Linked DNA regions of Drosophila melanogaster. The protein of the gene in region 1 interacts with the protein of each later gene in a pairwise test. Each region holds a gene or a part of one and is shown in the gene's direction. Other genes may lie near its edges.

Region 1 (7,635 bases):
AAAAGGTAGAAGAATTCTGTGTGTGTGTTTAAATGTTCACAGTAGGTCAGACGACTGCATGAAAACCATCCAAACCTTTAGTCTTGGTCCTTTACCTAGACTTTGCTTTTGTTTAATGGCTTGCTTACCTCTTTTGTGTTAGAAATCACAGTTGATTTAGTGTTGTGTGAAGTGCTTCAAGAAAAATATCGATGAATCGTTATGTTTGCAAGTCCCAGCAATCGCAAAATTGTCAAAAAACGATGTGGCCTAGCGATAAGTAGTATCGTACGTGGGAAGATAGATGCATGCAGAGCTGGAATGCTATCGATTTAGAAAAATACAATCGATACATCGATACATCAAAGTTGCACTTTAAAAATATTTGTTCGTACTTCATTCCCAACTTAAAATATATATTTAAATAAATAAAAGTTTTCAGCAGAAAATAAAGTTATTCGAGATTCACATTATTAATTTCTTACTTATTTAAATTGCCAAATTTTAAAACTGAGCTTATTTTTTATAATTCCTAGCTTAGGTAGCTAACATGAAATTCGTAAAACTACTTATCTAAAAACCGACTCGTCGCTGGGGCAATCTGAATAGCACTTAGCTCTAAAATATGCTACAACCGCTCACAGGTTGTGATTCAATTGAGTATTTTGAAGTGTTGAGTAAACCCAGTTCAATTTGGGGAATAGGTTCGTTCGTTCGTTTAAAATCAATGAACTAGGTCGTTCATTTAGTTCAATCGTTCATTTTTTAAGCTTGCTTAAAGGTGCTTCACAATAAATGTTATGAGTTTATCTCATACAATGCTGACATTAAAATTTATGTCAAAAACAGTTATACATAATAATAATAAGTAATAAATAACAAAGAGTTTACAACTATATTGAACTAAGTGAACTATAAAGACAGACCTAGTTCGTTCGTTCAGTTTGGGGAATAGTTAAATTTAGTTCGTTCGTTCACGAACGACACAACACTAGTGAATACTGTGTTGCAATGCACTGTGGTCCAGAATTCGATTTTTTTGGCATAAAGTCTAAAAATTGAGCTACAGACTTGAAACTTTGTACATTTTGTTGTTAAATCCCAAATAGTTTGCCCACAATATTTGTGCGACCACGCCCTCTCTTGCCTCCCCCACATTAACAACTGGTATGACTCAGGGTCAACGAAATTTTATTGTTTTTTTTTTTTTTAATAAAAGTGTGTATTGTATGTGTGTAGTATTGTTTTAAAAATAATCGCCCTCTTCTTCTTCTAGTTCTACATAATAAATAAAGTATGACAGAAGTTAAAAATAAAGATTGATCAGAAATTGGTGTGCCAAGTGCTTCAGTTTCAAATTTCTGCTTGTAAGCACTATGACCAGTTGTCCCATCAAATCTGTAGCTGCAAATTAATTTGATTATAAAGATATCTGGAAATTGCTTGAAAACATCAGATTGCAACTTAATTAATTTTTGCGCTGTATGATCCAAGAGATTTGTAATAGCACTTGAGCATTACATCTGTACCCTCTGGTCGGCACTGCAATTTTGCTTCGATCACTTCATTATAGGTGTTTCTGGTGTTATCTGGTGTTTTTAAAGTTTCTTTAAGAACAAAGGCAACGTCCCTTTTGCATTTCTAGCAGAAACAGTTGCTGCATGAATCAAAAGACTTGTGTCGTGATCACTTTTACTTGCCCGATTGGATGCTAGTTTCCTTTTTAATCTTTCTCCTGCATTTTGCTAAGATAAGTTTCGGCGTCCCATTTAAATCCAATTTAACAAGAATTGTTATCTTAGACGCCATCCATTTGGTATGTTTGGAAATAAATCGGTCTAGTTGTCTGTTACACTCGGGCAGTTTTCTTTTAATAAATAATTCAAAATGTACTATTTTTTTTCAATCTCTTGCGGAATAAACGTAATCTGAACCATACATTTATTTGCCTATTGTTACGCCTCCAAATGTCCAGGAGGTCGCTATGTCTGAACTTTAACTTGCCTATATAAAATGTAATTTTAAGAAAACGAGCAAAAATGAGAAAAATATATTACTTTACCGTCAAAGATAATAGTTAAAGGTACAAACTGACGTTTTTAATTTTTTTCAGAAAATTAGTTATACTCCACGAAACACAGGGGACACGTTAGTATTCTCTGTTAAAATACACATAAATTGACTGTTACACAACACAAAAACAGTGCAACTACACATATATTAACTACATACGTTAAAAACAACATACCTTGGCATTTATTTTCCATATTTTATTATAATTTATAATATAACATTTTAAATTTATAATTTATATATATTATAATTATAATTTATAATAATAATAATAATAATAATTTATGGATGCGTATTAACGATCGTACCACGTGCAAAAGTAAGCAAATAATTTGGCGGGAATTGCATTCTCTCAATCAGCTGCTTAACACTTTTTTTTTAGCAAATCGATAGAAATTTAAAATTATAAAAAAAAATTTCGAAAAATGATTAAAAAATGTGGGTATTTCATACTTTTAAACGAATCTAGTATACCCTTTTACTTGACGAGTAACGGGTATAATACGTTTTTTTTAATGTTGGTGCTGAGAGGGTTAGGTTAATTTAAACATTATGCGATTATTTGAATATGAACGAAATATCACGTGTCGTCCATAATATTTTCAGGGCTGAAATATGTTTAGGATACGCATGCGTCAGAAATCAAGACTTAATAAAATGCCTAGTGTCATATGACAGTGACGCAGATGACAGCGCTTCTCTTTATATCCGTTACTTGTAAAGTAAAAGGGTATACTAGACTTGTTGAAAGGTATGTAGCAGGCAGAAGGAAGCGTTTCCTAACATATAAACTATATAACAATAGCCACTTCGATCTGTTCCTGTCCGTCTCACTATTTTCAGCAATTATTGGTTATTTTCTGTTTTATTATATTTTCCCAATTTTTACCAATATTCCAAAAAATATTTGAATTTCTCGTTTCCACTTCCAGTTGAGTAAAGGGTATCTGATAATTGGGGAACCGGACTATAGAATCCTCTCTTGTTTAAGTCTTTCTTTTGCAGAGCTTTGAAGCTTTTAGAGCAGAAAAATCACACAGGGATAAAAAATACCATAAAAAAGGGTAATGTCAGCTGTGGAAGGAAACTTCCTTAAGTACAGTGCTTTTCAGAGCTTTATGTAGCTTTTAAAGGATATACCGTTGGTGCGCCGTACCGCTGTTTCTCCTCTGCTGACGTCGCAGCTTACGAAAAGCACTTCCTACGGAATTTCACGACATTTAATTCATTCTGTTCTAGATTTCCCGATAGTTCAAATCAGAGGTAAAGACCCCGAACCGAATCAAAACGAAAAACTAAAGTCCTCTGAAAACAAACAACGCTAGGTACTTGTGTTAGCTCTTTGCTTATTTTAAAGTATATGCCAAAATATTATCTTCGAAAACAAGTGAGAGAAATGTGTTTTTTTTTTTCGTACAATGATAATTGTATGCACAAGAGTGAGACGTAAGTTGCATAATTTCCTGAAGGAAAACTTCGGAAATTCAGCTGCGTACATTTTTTCGAAGTGGGGATAGGCATACATATAAAAGTTACAGTTCTTTGGGCTCCTTCCTGTACCCATAAATATATAATTGTAGAGCTTAACTTTTCTATGTGCCGCGCGTGTGTAAGTGTCCAAGTGTGTGTGACTTGTAGTGCGGGGGAGCTGTCTCTTTTGCACGAATCCGTCGTCTCTAGAGCATCGATTTTTCCAACCAACTCTCATTAGAAAGGAGAAGAAACAGAAAGAAAAACTAAGAAGAATATATATTGTAAAATAATATATTGTAAGATCAAAAAATACTCGAGCGATATGCCAAGTGACATGTGTGCGAAAATAAAAGCTATTTAAGCTTTGGCAAGGAAGTGCGTCAACAAATGATATTTTAATGTGACGTTCAGGCTAGATTAAATAAAAATGAGCAAACCAATTTTTATTTGTACCTATTATTCAACATGGATAGAATTTTGCCTTATTGTATGTATTATGATATGAAATCAATTTTTCATAGAGATCCTTAGGTTTTAGATGCTTACAAGGGGTCTAAATCCATTTTTTATTGTTAAAGTTTTATTGTACATGTAATCCTGTTCAAAAGTCGGTATTCTATAATACCTACTTTTGCATTAATATTCTGAAAGATGTAACCTAAACCGCATGAAAACCGTTTTGAAAAATGTATTAAATGGTACGTAATCAGCGAACCAAATTAACGTTCTTTAAACAAGACAAGTGATTAGCAAAAATAAACAGCTAAAATGTTAAAATTTGTGCTTAAAACGTAATAAATTCGCACTGTCCTAAGTGCAAATAATTGGTATAAACAATGTGTCTGAATATAAATGTTGCCTATTGTAAAATCCCAAATGAGAAGACTTTACTCGTTGAGTTTTTGTAAGAAACTAATTTTATTTGGAAATATCTTCGGTTTAAATAGGTGACATGAGAATCGCATCTTAAAGTAAATGGCCTACGCAGAGGCCTAAGTAAATAGTCCCCGCCTTATCGAGGTCCCACGCTCGGGCACATCTGCCTATCTTGAGCGGCGAGGACCTTATCTGTGGTCTCCCACTAAGGGACTATTTTAGGAGGCGGGGAACGATCTCAAGTGACTGACTCATGTAGTGTGCACTTAAATTACATGTTTTTGAGCAATGCACCCATGTCGCCTTAGATAACAAAATCCTAAATATAATTTATCGCTCTCGATTCATTTACATAAGATATGAACGGAGCCCAAAATTGTAAGTCTTTAAATATATTCGTGTTCATGTGTGAACATTCTGCCAAAGGGCCAGCAAGCTGAGATGTACATTAGTATATTAGTTGCATTTATAACAGTAGTGGACTGTATTTATTTGATATATGTTCATTTATTTTGCAACTAAGATTTCAATGGGCCTAGTTTTTCTGGCTTTTAATTTTATTGGATTACAATTATGGTTTATATTATTTTTAATTCAACAATTTGTACTCAATTAACTTATTTTAAACATTTTGCTTTTTCTATGTAGAAGTACATTTTCTATTAAACAACGATATAGTGGACTGTATATTTTTATTTGTTATATTATTTTATTGTTTATTTACTATTGATATTTATAGTACTGGCAACGGACCTGCAAAGGTTATTGCTTGCATTCTTTGTTGCACAGCACATTTCCGTATGAAATATATTATTAATACTATCATTAGTATTAAAGCAATAATTAATCCAGCATGTCCGGAAATATGATGGAAATGTAAATCTTTCAATTTTTGATGGTTCTCTTTCATAAATTTAATTTCATTATTCAATCGTTCAAATTCCTCAGTATGATTTAATATTGATAGTTTCAGCGGATCCCAAATAATCTTCGGCGCTTCACTAACTTCTCCTATATAAGGTGTTGATAATAATTCTTCACTTTCGGACTGAATGTTATGGTGGGCAACTAGAATTTTATCGTCGGTTCTTGCCGTACAATATGGCGCAATGCTTAAAACTCCTTGCTGAGGCAAATCAAACAATTCAATTTGAGAGCCAGTACATTGCAGACGGACTTTTGAATTCGCAGGAACCTTAAACAACCAACTACTTTTCTTTTCTAACTCTACCCAGTAACTTTTAGAGTCGACTACTGTTTTATAGATGCAGTTCGCCGCTTTATCTGGCTTTAGAGGCTGAATCTCACATGCATTATCATTCGCTGAATTCCAGGGCCAACTTCCTTTGCATATTCTCTTATTTAGTTGCCATTTCTGACATTGATTTAATGTGGCTTCCGTCATTATGTGATAGGAATCTATCTCAAAATTATAAATTAAATATTCGGACGTTGTATGCACCATTATTATCCGATCTTCATTTCGAATTGGCACCGGAATAAGCCTGAACAATTTGGATGGATGCCTGCTAAACAGAGGCACTTTTGCACTAATGATCAATTTATCGTCGATGAATAAACCCCTGGCTGTTAACAGTGTATACACCTCCTTAAGTTCCGTACCTGACCGTTTTCCTGGAATTACTAGGTTCTCCGAAAGACTCTGCTGAATTTTGGCAATTTCTTTTTTAAGCTGATTTGGCCTGAGAATATTTGTATTTAGCCTACCGTGATTAATATCAATCAACAGGCTTATAATGCCTGCTTGAATTTTTTCGCCTTCTTCAATCAATGAGTGTAGCTGTTTCGTAATCATAAAGAATTTTATTGATTCCTTATAAACATAATAATTTTCTTTAAGAACTTCTGTCATGTTCTCAATTCTTATTTGCATACTTCTAAAATTGGAGTTAACATCTTCTGTTGTTCTCTTTAATAGATTAGAAGTTGAATCAACCACAGATGTTTGTTTTTGAATTAGTTTATCAAGGTTGTTCTGGTTATCTAACAAATTCTTCATATTTTCTTCTAATTGCTCTCTATCATCTTCATCCATTATACCAAATAAAATATGATACAAGGAACCCATAAATTCGAAAGGAGCACGCTTGCTTCTAGATCTAGACTGTATCATAAACAATTTATTGTTTTCTTCAAGTTCCGATAACTGACTTTGCATATTATCTAAGACTAGACTACATTGCTCTTCAAAGCTATGAAGTCTTTCGCAAACTTTCCTCATACTTTGTATAAGCGCATTACCCTTTGTTAACATTTTAAAATATGGATCCATTTTATAATAGATAACCAAATTCCAAGAAGTACTCACAATCTCAACATCTCCTAGCGGGTCTAGATATATTGCTGAGGTTTTATTTATTTTGTCTATAGAATATCTTGGTGCTATATCTTTAGGTAATGCGCTAGAAACTTGACAACTTAACACAAACAACAACATTGCCATAATGATTCCGATCTTGGACATTCCCGATGTCGCTCTAGTTCGTCTTTTTGGCTCTTGGTCAGCCTCATTTTTGTCAACAGACTTTATTCCTTCCAAGGGACAAATTTTAGTAATGGGTCTAGTGATATATCCTTCCTGCATTTTTACTTTAGCCACTCGGACCTTATCATCATTCCCCTTATGCACCTTTTCCACCTTTCCTAAAGGCCATCTTGCAGGATGACAATTCTCATCCTTTAATAAAACTATTTGCCCTTCTTCTATATTAGGAATTTCCTTTTTCCATTTATTCCTTTGCTGGAGCGTATGCAAATATTCACTTTTCCACTTAACCCAGAAATCTTTCTTCATTTTTTGGATAAGTCTCCACCTATCCAAATTTCCGATTTTTTCATCTTCCATTGGTTCGACTATTTCTAAAGGTGGTCTTCCAATTAAAAAATGACCTGGTGTTAAAACTTCTTGTTGGTCCTTCTCACTAACTATAGTGTATAATGGCCTTGAATTTAAGCATGCTTCTATTTGACATAAAAGAGTTGACATTTCTTCGTAAGTCAAAATAGTGTCGCCGATTATACGCTTTAAATGGTATTTCATTGACTTAACTCCAGCTTCCCAAATACCTCCGAAGTGAGGTCCTGCCGGGGGAATAAAATGCCAATCAATCCTGTCCTTTTCAAGCTGCGCTGCAATCGTTATATTTTCTTGTATTGCATTAAATAACTCTTGATCTAATTTTCTTGCAGCTCCTACAAAATTTGTTCCGTAAG
Region 2 (7,622 bases), on another chromosome or scaffold:
AAATGACTAAGCACCCATCGAAATTAAAGGCACTAATTAAAGCTGAAAACTAATTAGCAAACTAATTAACACTTTGAGGCCTTTCGACCGAACAGGTGTGACTCCGATTGTGGTCTGTTCATGTGAACTGAGCGTGGATCCTCAAGGAGATAATCGAACTGGAGCCAAAAATAATTCAACAGCTCGGACTACAAGAAGTGAAATTAATTAAAATTTTTAGCTGAATAAGGGGCCACTTAATCAGCTCGCTGGGGAAACTTTCCGTTCGCTCTGTAAGTGCGAACAAATTGATATTGAGCGTAGTAATTGCGGAGCCATGAACGGAATTGACAACTTGGACTTTGGAGCACTCGAGATGAGGCGCCTGCATCTACCCATCCCTCCATCCATCCCTTCATCCATCCATCCATCCAACCATCCATCCAGACAGACAGGCTAGACGAGATCGGGCGCAGATCGAAACTGAGCCGCGCAAGTGAATATCTTTTGGTGGGACCAAAGTCCACTTACGAGTCATGCGCCAGTCGTGTGTGAACCAAATTCGAATCTTATTTTATCGAATCGTCTCACTCAATTCACTCAATCATCTGGGCTGCACCCAAAGCAATTAGCCAAGGCGTCCGAGTGCCAAGGCGTCCACGCATGCACCTCGTGTCTGCCGGAATTTCGAGTTCCCAACCGCTCGAGATGATGAACGCGCCAACCCGTGACGTTGCTCCTCCGCCAGATGACGATGATGACGATGACGACGACGACGTCAAGTTGCCTTTGTTGTCACCTCTTTTTGCATTTGTTGAAAATAGCACAACGCTCTTTATCGCCGACTAGTGTGGCGAAGCGACCCGATCTAAAATTAGCATCCACGAATATAGCGTTTCATTTCCACTTATTTTCGAATTGATGTGGTCAGTTTTTATGGCCCCCGAGTGACACTCGAGCCAATCCGTACCACATGCCCAAAGTTTGCGGGACAGGTGCTAATGAATGGTATATCTAGATTGTATAAGAATTAGTGCTTACTTGGAAAACGGAAAGATTATTCGGGTGCGCTTTGTTTAGTTTACAATTAGAATGATATGATGACGCTATTGGTACATATTCATAAGTAACTAAGAAGCCTTGACAAATTTTGTGATTTAAACTGATAAAAAAACCAATTACACAGCATTAATGATAATTAATTTGTCAATGGTTTCTGTGGCAGATAAGCTCATTAGGCATTAACCAATCGACCTTTGTCGCACACGTTGGAATCCAAATATATTTGCCAAGAATTCGAACGCAATCTACGTGATTCATGTATTCATACAGCGAAGACAAAGTCTAAACCTGGTGAAATTATCAGCTATTTCATGTAGATTAGAAGAAGTGAGAACTTCAGTTGTGCCTATTGCACATCTGGATTGTGAGTATAAGCACTTGATAAGGTGCAAGTGCCGAATAAACCACATATGCAAAGCAAATAAAACCAATGGCCATTATAGGTGGCACGTGTAGCCTTGCCATAACCTCGACCACCAAAACGATTGATACCACACGGAATCAGAAACATAACATAGGAAAAAACCAAACATTCGCTGATTGCGAGTCTAATCGGGTGATGCAGGCGGAAAGAACACTATTTTTTGGGGGTGGGAAACTTCGCATTACCTCATCAAAGTTGCCCCAAACCAAACCAAAGCAATCATGCCAATTGCCCCAATTCAAATCGATTAGTCTCGATGACACAGCAACCCCAATAATGCAATTGCCCCACGGCCAAATCGGATCGAGCGCGTGCCGCCTCGCTTATCGCCATTTGGGAGCAAGTTCAAGTGACCACCGACCAAGAGCTGCTGCTCCCTGTCCACTTCCCACTGATAACTGATAGTGATAAGTGCGTAAGCGAGTGCGTGTTTACATTCCGCTCTTCGCTTCAATCATCAATCATCCGCGATCGATCTCGATCGATTTGAGCCCGAGGACTGGCCGTTTAATTAACTTCTTCGCTAGCGATTACCGATTGCCGTGCGAGGGTTCCCAAGATAAACGATATGGGAAATCACGAACCCCGAGTATGGCCAACCGCCTGATTGAGGCGTGAAGGTGACCAGCACTATCGAATATCGTGATTTATTTGCGCGTCGTAAAGGATTGTTAATGATTCACCCGATATAAATACATAACTCATAGGAAAGCAAGTCGATAAGTATTTCTGTTCAAAGAAGTATGATTTAAGATCGTATCTGCTTTGATTTTAGGTTACTAATAGTAACTTACTATGTATTTGTATTCCTATAGTATATTTATTCAAAACATTTAAAAATATATCCTCATTGCATGTAAAAACTCAGCTACTCTCTAGGGGGAAATCACGATTATAAACTATTTTTGTGACAAAGTATTAATTAAATTATATTTCATAATTATTGTGCTGACATGTCATTAAGATGGACTTGTCAGCCCAAAAGTAGGCACGACCTTTTAATAATGCATTTCCAAAACCAAATAAATTGCCTGGATGGATCGGATCTATTGAAAAAGATTTAATTTCACAGTCATACTATTTTGGCTTATCGTTAGATAAGTAATTTGTTTTGATTTTTTGTGAAATATACGATACAGTGCCGCCATTTACATGGCAAATCTCAGCTTTCATAGGCGAAGGAAAAATAGTACGGAAAGTGAAACTTGGCACAGAAAAGCTTTGCTCTACAGCAAATGGCAACATTGTGTGCCATTGAGACACTTCCGCCCCAGTACGCATGCACCAAAAAACATACTGCGAACAGGTTCTGAAGGAGCTTTCAACTTTACATGTGATTCCCAGTCAGATGTTTACCTCCTTTGGGAAAATCTAGAGAGAGATATAGTAGGGATTTTTGAAAATATGTATGTAAAGGTACTAGACATGAGATACTGTAGTAGTTATTCAACTCTTACTTATGAAGGATGCATTTTATGGTAGTGCCTATTTTATGATTATCCTCCTTTGCATATCATACAGACGTAGGGGCTCAGCCATGTCCAGCTGGCCTAAAGTCTTCCCCTCCGAGATTTCCGCTGCCCAAAAGCTCCCCCCACGGTGGACACCGCCCCGCTCACCCGCTGGCCGAGCGGCCAAAATCGATGCCCCAACCGGTTCGCTCTCGCGTTTTGGCGAGTGGCCCAAGCTTTTCAGCGCTGCTCCTGGAGCGTGTGGGCCAAAACGCGAATGAACATCGACCGTGGAAGTTGACTGCTGAAGTACAAAGCGCTAGGCTGAAGGTGAATGGGAAAGAAAAATTCTAGAGGCTCATAAAAAGTGGCAATGCCCATGGAAAATCATTCAAAAATGTGATGAAAAAATTATGAAAATTAAACAGAATTGGTTGAAAGCAAAGCAAAAGTGTTGAAAGTGTTTTCCAATTTGTTATATAAATGAAAAGGCCATCGAAAGCCCCGAAATGTATAGTGCGCGTGTGTATGTGTGTGTGGTGTGGGTGCGTGTATGCGACTGTGTGTGTGCGAGTGTTTAGCACGCGCTGACAAAAAAGGAGAACATTTTTTGTGTATCAGAATTTTTCGCAGCAAATGTCGAGAAAAAATGGCAGCTAAGCAAGAAAATTTTAATTGAAAATTCCAATGTGCAATGCGAAGATGAAAGAAGCGCTGAAAAATGGGCTATCATTGAAAGTGAAAACGCATGTGAGCCACTTGCGGGGATATTGATTTTTCCCACCCGACTATTGTGGTGCTGTAGGCCAGTCGAAAGCCAGGATTAAAAAGCATATCAATGTGAATTCGGAAAATCCGAATCCGCAGTCCTTCAACGCCCTATAATTAAATAATAAAAAATTAAAATTGAAATGAGATTTTTAACTATCAACTTGAAGTGTCTGAGTGCGAGAGAAAAAAGGAAAGCTCAATTCAAGCCAAAAGAGGCCCTGAAAAGGACGAAAGAAATGGCCCTAAGAAAATCTCTATCCTGAATTTGCTTTCTTCGAGGAAAAAGCGAATTTGCCAACCTCCCACTCTCTCTCTCTCTCTCTATTTTTGTCTCTCTCTGCCCACTCACCAACACGCACACACATGCTCTTTTGGGCAAGGAGACACAACACACAGACACACACACAAAGCCGAGTTCGCTCTATCAATATTTACGCACACCATTGTATTTTGCTATTACGTATACGCTGCGTATCTCTTCAACTCTCTCACTCACTCTCTCTCTATATCTCTCTCTCTCTCTCTCTTCCTCACTTTCCGCTGACATCCTTTGTACTGCAAAATATATGCAAATAAATCTAAATAAATTGAATTAATTTCAATTAATTTTATTACAAATTATCCAAAAAAGTATACGAAATTCATGTGAGACTAGCGAGCCGCGGCCTCACTAGCCAAAGCCAGTCACAAAAAACCAAAAACATAAATCAGGCAGCAGCAGCAGCACACATACATCGACAAGCGCCAGGACCCGCATCACCATATCCTTCCTGCCAAATAGTCGCCACTGCTGCCGACCCTCCCCGCTCCCCTCGCAGGAGTCACGCTTCGTTAAACGCTGCTCAAAACCCATCATCCTAACTAATAAAGCGGACGATAAACAAGCGAATTAAGTACCAAAAACGACCGAGCTATTAACGCTAGTCTGGATCCCAATTGCTGATTGGAAAGGAGAAACATTGGCAGCATTTCTGATTAGGGGGTGAGTGTTGGTATTTACAAGAACGTAGCACACTTTTTGGGGCAGTCCATAGAGTGAATGGAGAAACATACATAACTAAAGGGTTGCTGCAGCTAAAGAAAAACTAATCTCTAAGCTATCAGAGAAAATGTGATTGCTTATTATTCTAAGATACAAACATTTCCCATGGTTAACATTCATCTTGAATTATATTAATATCTAAATAATCAAGTTAATTAATAGATTCACAAAAATTTGCAGGAATTTCCTTTACCAATTAAACCCAAAAGGTCTGAAATACTTTGGGTTTATTAACTTGATTAATTGCCAGACTGCCAAATTCTCTGCCCAGTGCCACACATCACTTGTTCATCGTGTCCTTTCTTATCTTCGTCTAATAAGAACTAAACCTGATTTAGTCCTGCTCTTCGCTAATTAGCTTTGGACAGCCCGAAGTTGGGCTGGAATTCCTCGGAGGGCAGGCTATTAAGGGCATTGCCGAAGCATAGCAATAAAAATGCTGCAAACAAGCTCGGCAGGCCGCACATAATTGCCAATAATCAAGTTGGCCCGAACGGCAGCGTAATTTTGACCCTTCGCGTCGCCCGAAAATCCTTTTGTGTGAAATTCGAGAATATGAATGAATTGTTTGCACGGAGTCTATATTTGATTTTGAAAACATCGAGACGGATTGTTCAATGAAAGCGAAAAGCATAATGATGTGGAAAATTGGTTTTCTCCGCCAGGCATTCTTCTGGCCTGAGGCAATGTCGGGCTCCAACGTCTAGCTTGGATTTTCCTTCATGTTCATTTCTTTTTTTTTTTATTTCCTTTGCTATTTTCCGAGTTTTTATTTTGTTGCCTTCTCTGGGTTATGTGCGCAGTAAAGAGAGCAGAAACAGAAACAGAAAGAGAGAGAGAGAGAGAGAGCTGTGGGCATGTGTGGCTTTTCCGCTTTTCCATCCTTCCGCTCTCATAGTTTTCCACTCTCCGGCTCGCCAAAAAGTTTAACCGTTTCCCCATTCGTGAGCTTCGAGAGCCTCCTGGCCATTTTCTACGCGATTCGCCCGTATTACGTGCGTGGGTTCCACAGATGTTGCCATAGATCCGAATCCGAACCCGAATCATATTGCGAGCTCCATTTGCTCGCTGGCGGGTTTGTTTGGACCCGGTAATGGGTAATGACTGCCTGTCCAATCCATCCCATGTTAATTTGTTTTGACAGCTTGATGGTAAGACCGGTAGAAAACTCTATTTTTACTCGGGTTCTTCGTTGCTTACTCGCAGTATCCTTTTACCATTTATCTTATCGCCATGCGAACCCCGCGCTAATCTAAAATGCCCAGCCAATTGCCGTTATCTGTGCTCCACTTTTTGTCACTGCATTGCACCACCCACCGGGCCACCAACCCAGCAGCCCACGCACCCTTATCAGCTTTTTCTGCACCACCGCCCACAATTTATGAAAAAGCAGCAGACAGCTGCCTATTTATAGGTCCTTCGCCAAAGGTCAAATCGTAGCAATTATTACTAGGAAAGCACACATTCCTCTTATCGTCCCTAAATTGGAGCTCCGAACTGAGCTTTGATTAATTTAGTAGGGTCTTCGACACGAAAGTTCTGTTCATATTGAGTAAGTTCATCAAAAGTGGTAATTGAATTTTACAACGTTAAGTGGAATGCTGATTTTTGGAACTTATTAGGAGATTTCAGTGTACCTTGCTTTATTTGCTCATTTCAATTATAATACTTTTCCGAGACTGGCTTTCAAAAGCAGTACTTCCTTCATGTTTATGGCACTTTTGACAGTTACTGGAAATGTTTTGCCATCAATCGAGTGCTCAACAATGAACTCACTGACCACTCAAGCGTCTTACTACCAATAACAAATACTGGAAGCAGCTGTTTTGGCCCTAAACATAATTTACACTTTAGCACGAAACGAAGCCGTTTTGAACTGCGTAGTTTGTTATTTAGCTGCCACTTCTTGGTGCCCAGACAAGTGGGCACCGCAAAATAACCAGCACACCCATACGCCCCGTTGACCCGTGGGCAAAAAAAAAAAAAAAAACAGTGCCACGAAATGCTGGCAGAATGACAAAAGTGTGGCAACTGGCGCATACAATATTTGTGACCTTCTTGTGCCTTCCTGGAAATCACAGTAGCTGCACATCTTGTTCCTATTAATGTTAAGTTCTTTTTCTTGCGGGTTTTTCGGCCCCTTATGCCAGGAAACATAATTCAGCATGAGATTTTTTGGTGCATAAATAAAATATGAATAACAAAGTGGTCCACCTTTGGGTGATTGCCATTTTCCGGGCAACTTTCGGTAGCTAGGTGTTTCTGATTGTTGCGTCCACATTTATTATGGATGAGTCTTTCGGAGGGTAGAAAGCCCTTGTTTATCCATTTTATTTATCTGCCACTGGGCTGCAACGCAATTTGTCAGGGAATCACACGGAAATCGTGACATCTCCCAGCTTTCCACTTTTTGCTGCCACATGACTGGTTTTCCCCTTCCTCCATCTCAAGGAGTCATTTCCAGGCAGCTTCTGTGCCGCACAACTTGTCCTAGATGCATTTAAATTTATTTATTTCTCGGTAATTTTCCTTTTTGTCCTCAAGTGGCCAAGAGTCGTGGTCGCTCATTCTAAAAAGTAAAATAAGTTAGTGCATTTAAAAGTAGGACAACATTTAAAATTTATATTGATCATGTTAAAGTTATGATGTTTATCAATTGTGCACTCTTAAATAATTTACAGAGAAATTGTCTGTCTTAAGTTTAATCTTCGCGAAATACGAGATGAGCTGGCAAAAACTCATTTAAGAAAGCGATAAGCGGAGAAAAGAGACAGCTGTTTATTATTCATATGCAAAATTGGTGAAAAGTAAACAATTTCATTAAATTCGTGATAAGAACATGTATGTATATTAGTCCAGCAGCAGTACTTTTATTTAGTCGCTCTAGTTTAAC

Evidence for each region.
Region 2: the proteins of stnB (region 1) and Syt1 interact in binary tests that used the Drosophila melanogaster proteins (3 or more experiments, as listed by UniProt).

What each region holds. Positions count from the first base shown.
Region 1 is NC_004354.4:23,000,292-23,007,926, reverse strand, and holds the start of stnB (stoned B), read left to right. Parts: upstream 1-3,278; 5' UTR 3,279-3,377; intron 3,378-7,635. UniProt on the Drosophila melanogaster protein: Adapter protein involved in endocytic recycling of synaptic vesicles membranes.
Region 2 is NT_033779.5:2,795,533-2,803,154, reverse strand, and holds the start of Syt1 (synaptotagmin 1), read left to right. Parts: upstream 1-3,175; 5' UTR 3,176-3,246; intron 3,247-4,318; 5' UTR 4,319-4,669; intron 4,670-4,833; exon of another isoform or gene 4,834-5,323; intron 5,324-7,610; exon of another isoform or gene 7,611-7,622. UniProt on the Drosophila melanogaster protein: May have a regulatory role in the membrane interactions during trafficking of synaptic vesicles at the active zone of the synapse. It binds acidic phospholipids with a specificity that requires the presence of both an acidic head group and a diacyl backbone.